Linked DNA regions of Nothobranchius furzeri. The main gene of each other region encodes a partner of the protein of the gene in region 2 in a complex. Links are inferred from orthologs where the notes say so. Each region holds a gene or a part of one and is shown on either strand. Other genes may lie near its edges.

Region 1 (3,755 bases), about 2.5 Mb from region 2:
AAAACAATAACGTGACTTTGACACTGAACCCAGGTGGAAACAGGAACTGATAACATATAAGAAACTAGGGCTGGGCGATATACCGATATTTTTAAAATATCGGTATAATTTTTAAACAAGATATAAGATGACTTTATACCTTTATAACTGGTCAAACTGCTATGCTAGTGACATGTTGCTCCGTCTCTAAGGGGTTATTACATGTATTCTCTCAAGTTTGCTCAATCTGAGAGCCTCTGGGTAAATGTGCTGGTCTAAACTTAGCATGTGGCGTTCTGGTTTTTAATTATTTGGGGACGTTCAACGCCAACGGAGTTCTGTTTTCCGTCCTGCTTGTGTGGAGAGACGAGTCAAACCCCTCCCTCCCCTGTGTAATGAGGAAACATCTACGGAAAGCCGGAGTGGGCAAATTACTTCAAACATATAGTAAGGGTTTGAATAGTAAACTATAGGGTTAACGTTTTATTTTGAAGGCGAGCTCAACGGGTGAGAAATGTTGCTCCGGGTTTTCCGCTGTGGTTTGTTATGCTAATAAATACTCCCGTTACGAGCAATTCTGTTGAAAAAGTTAAGAGTTTGTAAGGCGTGGGTTACGGCGACAGTAGCTCAAATATATTACTCATAAAAGAGCAACCAGAGACTCTGAGTCATTACAGTATAATCGCTGATATGAGTCAACACTGATAGATTCCAGCCATGTTTGCCCTGATAACTAATAACTCTATGGTGCATGACCCATGTGACCTTCAGTAGATGCAATTGCATCATCTACCTGAATCCTCTTGCAAAGGCTTACGTCTCGGCCTGGCCGCTCCGGTCATCACAGGATCGTCGGCTAGCAGTGCCTACACCACGCTCAGGACAATCCAGGCTCTTCTCATGCATCGTTCCACAAATGTGGAATGACCTTCCAAGCACTACCAGAACAGCGGCTTCTTTTTCAATTTTCAAGAAACTCCTGAAGACCCTGCTCTTCAGAGAGCATCTTCTTAACTAGCACCTTTCCTGCACCCGTCCCTCCCTCTAACGTCCACTCCTTTGTTCCCTCCTCTCCATGACTGATGTCAATGTTGTTGTTGTTATTGTTGTTGTTAGCCTCAAGGGCTACATGCCGATTATCACTTGTAAGTCGCTTTGGACAAAAGCGTCTGCTAAATACATAAACATCATCATAAATTTAGCCTAACATGATAGATTTTTGTTATGGACAAGAAATAAACGATATGGGCCACCTCTAGATGAAATCTAAATCATTTTACATTACTAATAAATATATAATAAAAAAGTCCCTGTGGGACATTTGATACACCTCTAGCTCTCAACTGTGTACGTGTGTGAGTGTGTGTGTGTGTGTGTGTGTGTGTGTGTGTGTGTGTGTGTGTGTGTGAGTGTGTGTGTTAGCAGACAGTTGTACCAGTGTTTCTAAAGCTCAGACTGGTTGAGAATAGGCACTAAGGTTAAAGTTGGACAAGAATCAATACATTTTTATGCATTTAATCTACTGATGTATGTTTATAATTTCTCAAGACAGCTTGAAGTGAGTTAACTTGGAAATACTTTACAGGAGGAAAAATATTGAGATATACATCGTATATCGGAATTCAGCTAAAAGATAGAGGAATAAGTTTGGGTCCATATCGCCCAGCCCTAAAACAAACCATCAACTCAGCATCAGCACCTACTCACCTGGTCCGGCCCAGCTGTCCCCTGATCAGCAGAACTCCTGCAGCATCAGCATCGAGCGCGGTCACCTTAAACTCCAGCTCTGTCCCGACTTTAGGACCAGCGTCCCTCCAGGTCTCTATGGACACCAGAGTTGGCCTGGGAATGCTGGCATTGAAACAACTGTGCACGAGGCAGCCAACATGGCTCACTCCCAGTTTATTCACTTTACCCTGTAGAAAACAAACCAACGACAGCAATTGGTGCTACTGAGATGACTTCTGATTAATTCTGTCCATCTTACCAGGAGTTTCTGTCCCCTTTTGGGCTGAAATACAATGAAGCTGGCTTCTATGTCCATGTGGATGTAGCCGCTGTCATTGTAGATGTCCCCATTTCTTCCCAAAATCCTAATGTTGTCATAGGCTAACAGCACTCCATTCAAACTGGAAGACACAAAACCAACAGCTTTAACTGGAACGGGAATACCAGCAGTTTTCCAAGCATACTATGACACAATCCTGACTCCATCTTTGACTTGAGCTCAAATAAACCTCCTGATGTTGAAGATATGTTACGCTGCTGATTCCAGTTGTTTAAAAAAAGATCAAATAGTTCATTTAAAACACAAAGAATACACCTTTAGCTGTCAGCTGACTGCCATAAAATGCAAGCACAGTGATTAAATCAGGCAATCCCGCCTGTGCTCGTCTTTCTACCTCTGGGAAAACTTCAGCAGCTCTCCGTCCAGCTCCTCCTGGATGCCAGTCTTCTTCTTGTTCAAGTACTGCGGCGCCAGAGCGACGTGTCTCCGGTGGGAGTTCAGCACCAGACACGAGTACGGCACCGGCAGGAGCTCCGACGCGGCCGCGAAGGAGGGGACCACGCAGCCCGCATCTCTGTCCGGAGCAGAGGACGGCTTCACCGGGGCGCCAGCAGCGCTCATATTGTTGGACAAGTCCACATGTTTTGGATCCTCCACAGCATGCTCGAAGTTCGCCATGCTGCCAGAGGACCGGAAGACAAACAACCGAGACTGTCGTGTTGAAGTTAGCGACTAAACCTTTATGCTGCCCCCTGCTGGCTCGGAGGTTCACTGGAGCAGCGCTCTTTGGGAGACCGTGAGCTAATAAGTACAAAAGATGTATTATATAGAAGATATTCAATTTTGTGATGATAAATGCAATAATAAGTTTCTAAGATCTTCATTAAGGAATCTTTTTGATCCAAACTTACTTAGACGTAATTACATATTAAAAGATTTCCAAAGGGAAGAAATTGAAAAAATAAGAAGTGATATCACCTTCCCTATCGCTCCTAAAGGGAAAGAAGTCCAATTTTAATTTTTGACCAAAATTTACCCAACCAATAGACTCCTTGGGGATAGATTCAATATAGAAGCTGGTAATTGTGTATTTTGTGAAACAGAAGAGGAGGACTTAGGCCATCTATTTTTTGTGCAATTTTATACAAATATTTTGGTTAGATTTTCATGCCTGGCTTTGTTCTAGTGGGATTCAAATTGCCCCATTTACCTTAAATATGATAATGTTTGGAGTGTTTTTGAAAGAAAAGAAAGTTAGTTATGGTGTTAATGTGTTATTAATTTTGTGTAAACAATTTATACATAAATGTCGATTTTTTAAGACCAAACCAACACTAGCCTATTGGAAAAACAACTTAAAAGTATTAGTTAAATCTTTGAATTTAGTTAAAAAGAAAAAGGCTGGTTTGTTATTTCCTTTGTAGAAGATTTTGAGTTAGTAAGTTAATAACCTGTTAATTATGTGACCCCATCTTTAGATTTTCCTTTTTTTCCATATACATGAAAATGTTGAATATGCATGTAATGATTATCTTTTGAATATATAATGTAAGGTGCATTTTGTTTGTATGTTATCTTCTCTAATAAATAAATAAATAAAGTACAAAAGATGTATTTACGCTGGTGCTCTCCACGTGTTAACAGTGCTATACTTACAGTGTTGCCATGTGTTGGATTCACAAGCTGATCTCTCTGTATTTCATCAATAATGTAAAAGAAAGTAAAACTAAAATAGTGACATTCCTGTTTTGAAACCCAGACTCAACAA
Region 2 (3,755 bases):
TCTGTGAAGGACTTTTTATGATTTGTCGGTTGCATCTGCCCTTTTCTATGCAGTGGCCTGTTGGGGAAGCGGATGTACAGACAGGGACCAGAACAGAATTGGCAAACTGGTGCAGAGGACTAGCTCTGTACTGGGATGCCCCCTGGAATCGGTGGTGGGCGAGAGGAGGATGCTAGCTAAGCTAACATCCATCATGAACAACACACATCAACCTGAGCAGCTCATTCAGTCAGAAACTGATATACCCCCGCTGCAGGAAGGAGCACTCCCGTAGACCACCGATTCCACCAGTAGATGGGATTTATAACACATTATGACGTCATTAGTCAGCCAGCCACTTAAACGCTACGGTCACTACTCCATGCAGGATGCACCTGATATATGTATTTGTTTGTGTGCTTACATGTTCATGCCTGTATTTACAGTAATCTACCACATAGACGGTAAATAGTAGCTGTAGCACAACAGCTGATACTTTTTATGTATTATTAATTCATGTGACACACGTGATCGCCAGTGGAATTAAGGTGAAAAACAAGCTAACTTTCCACAGTTTTCCTGTTTAGTGGCAAAACGACAGAGACCAAGTATCTAGCATAAAGTCTTGTTAGCTCACTTGGATCGCAGCTGTAAGGCGACCAAACATCACCTTCCAAATTATTTTCATTCTGGTAAATTACAGATGGTGTACGTTTTTATACATCGTTTCTTTCCCTCAACCGCAACATGCACACGAAACACACACGTACACAGAGGCTACACTCACCTACCGGTAAGCTAATGATACACAACATAACTTTTCTCGCTACACTTCTTCTGAGGGATGACAATTTTGATTGTTTTACTAGAAAAACCAACAAATTAAACGTTTACCTCTCATCTGGACGTTAAACAAGATAGCCGAAAAAGTCTGTTATGCAGAACTGCAGCTGCAACAATATGTCACCAGTGCTCCAGTCTTGGGTCTTTTATGTGGATCAAAACCATTTATAATGATGATTTTGTCCACATACCGGTCCCCGACGTCTTTATATAACATGTCCCTGTATATTCCACATCCTTGTTGGGATTTTATGTGATTTAACACTTTCTTTCACCCAAATCTGCTTCTACTCTGCGACAGTACCGTTTATTTCACAGTTTGCAGAATGCTATGCGTAATCACGTGTGATCACAAGCCCTACACAAAATCTGCTGATTTTAGAAGCATTAATGTCGGTATATCGGTATCGGTTTTCGGCCATAACGGTGATATTAATATTGTATATTTGTTTTAGCCCAAAAATTTCATATCGGTGCATCACTATCACGTTAAATACATTTACTGTGAAGTGATTTTTTTTTCTTTTTACTACACTTGTGGTACTTTGAGGAATCATCACCACCTCCACCCGGGTTCCCAAACAGCCTCTTGAATCAGGCCCTCACAAAGCTAGAAACGGCTCTGGGACACGTTACCTGAAACAGGAATGCAGAAGGAGCAGCGAGGACACAGGACAGTGTTGGAGGTTACTGGTACCGGAAGAACGTTCCCGCATTCAGGACAGAAGTTCGGGTCACCACTAAAATAAGACATCCCGTCGAACCGGGCTGCTGACTCTTGAGAAACACAGACACGTTGAAAACAACAATCAAAACCATGAACCACTGGTTTCCCGTTCGGTTCACATGGGTTCTGTTTCGTTCCCTCCTGACTGCCAGTGGCAGTAAACAGAGTGGATGTATCTCCTCGCGCTCTGCGCAGGTCGAGTACTAATGTAAACAAAGTCACGCACGTGACACGTAGCGCACCTGGTCGCGAGTCTATAAATTACGCGCCGATAGCTACGTTCGGGTCTCCCGGGATCTTCTCGCCCGAGAAGTTCCGAGTGACCCCTGTGACTGGCAGTCATCCAGGAACTCACAGAACCATAGTTACACCGTAACTTCCGTTATGAAGACTTAGCACTTTATAAATTAACACTTTAAAAGACCTCCTGGCTGTGTGATGAAATCTAACGAGTGAATGTTATTGTTATTATTAGCAGTAGTAGCAGCAGCACATTGAGCACGTGGAGCTACTTGGAAACCTTTTACATGTTTATATTAGTATTCGGCTATTCTTTACACATTTAGTTCAAAACAGCGCTACTGTCATCATTTATTAAGTCAGTATAAAACGTTACAAACCTCTTTCACCGGTCACTTGTTTGCAGTAGAGGTCCTAGGGTCCTATCCACAGCTATGTATATGGTCCTATCACGTTATTGTCGCAGGCTGATGACGCAGGACGTGCTAGTGTCGCACGCTTGTTTACGTGACATGAGTTAATGACCAAAATGTTATTTGGGAATAATTAAATTAATTCGCAAATACCATTAAATGGTGTCAAACAATAAAATAAGGTGGAAATATCATATAGCATCTCCAGAAGCATTTCAATACCAAAGTAAAGCATACGTGGAAATAATAAACAACACTAAACTCATAATTACTGTGCAGAGATTTGGGGCAACAATGACCAGGGGTGGTCCTAGCCTGTTCGGTGCCCTGGGCGAACACACTTTACTTTTAGATGCTGCTTCACTCAAGCCGCTTCAGCAGACCTGTCCTCCTCCCTCTGCAGCACGCAGCAGAACAAATGTTTCCAAAAGTTACACACACCAGCATAATGTTCAGGCACTGCGCTCCCAAAATAAGTTTTTTTTTCGTACCCATTTTGCCACCCCTCTCATGATGCCATCCTGGGCCATTACCCAGGTCGCCCATGTCAAAAACAGTACTGCTCATAACTGTTTATTTTTATCTATTTTACAAAAAAAAAAAAAAAAGAAGAAGAAAAAAAAGGCCACTAGAATAATCTACACATCGGTGGTTACAGATGTCACACAAACCAAATGTTCTTAAAATCACAAATTTTGAAATTTTCTGATTTAGTTTAGTTCACATTGGAGTGAAACTGGAACCGACCAGCTGAGACAGTGATGCTGTGTTTTCTTATCAGGCTGAAACCTATGATCATTCATTTGTTTGGTGCATGTATGTAGAAAATTTGAACGGATGTCTGACTTTTCCATAGGTGTTTTATTTTAATGAATTGTTTCCATATTATATTATTTGTGGACTCCTTTTAAATGTTAATGAAAATCAAAAATACAATTCATAATTTGAACACAGTAAAAGAATGACAAACAATAAGCCCTAATGCAAGTATTAATCTTTCTTTGATGATGTAGACATCACACATTCAGTAATTAAATGGTCCATCAATTCCTGCCATATAATGTGTCAGGGAGGAAACGGAACTTCACCAGCAGACGTGGATGGATCACAGAAGGTTGTTTCATCTTCCTTTGTTGTTTTCAAGACATCCCAGAAAAAGATTACAAAAAGTGGAGCATTAGAATAAAGCTTTGTGACTGAAGGTCGTGTTGCAAAATGTTATCATGAAGATTAAAATGTTTTAGCAACTTTATTAACAACATATCAATTCTACCATCATGTCTCACATGCCTCAGTGACAAATTTCTGGATTTAAATCATCCCAGTCCTGCCTGCAGAACACTTACTCGAAGTCATCAGTGCTTCCTGACTAACAGATCCACCCTTAGATTGTGTTACCAACCAACTCTTTGCTTTCACACAAGTATAGACAGGATGATGCTACCCCAAAGTTTTATGACATGACATCATGAGCGATGGCAGTTTTTGGCTCTTACCTTGAAGCAAACAAACCTCACCCTCATCTCCATGATCCAGCTCTGAGATTTGTGAGT

What was found. Proteins that work in one complex are often made in the same cells at the same time.
Region 1: polr1h (region 2) and polr1f share a complex: the UniProt entries of both Homo sapiens proteins name them as parts of the RNA polymerase I (Pol I) complex. The link is inferred for Nothobranchius furzeri from reciprocal best matches to the Homo sapiens genes POLR1H and POLR1F.

The regions. Positions count from the first base shown.
Region 1 is NC_091751.1:28,041,467-28,045,221, forward strand, and holds the start of polr1f (DNA-directed RNA polymerase I subunit RPA43), read right to left. Parts: upstream 2,711-3,755; 5' UTR 2,666-2,710; coding exon 2,382-2,665; intron 2,109-2,381; coding exon 1,967-2,108; intron 1,896-1,966; coding exon 1,687-1,895; intron 1-1,686. UniProt on the Homo sapiens protein: Component of RNA polymerase I (Pol I), a DNA-dependent RNA polymerase which synthesizes ribosomal RNA precursors using the four ribonucleoside triphosphates as substrates.
Region 2 is NC_091751.1:25,535,471-25,539,225, reverse strand, and holds the start of polr1h (DNA-directed RNA polymerase I subunit RPA12), read right to left. Parts: upstream 2,274-3,755; 5' UTR 2,170-2,273; intron 1,600-2,169; 5' UTR 1,577-1,599; coding exon 1,459-1,576; intron 1-1,458. UniProt on the Homo sapiens protein: Core component of RNA polymerase I (Pol I), a DNA-dependent RNA polymerase which synthesizes ribosomal RNA precursors using the four ribonucleoside triphosphates as substrates. Can mediate Pol I proofreading of the nascent RNA transcript.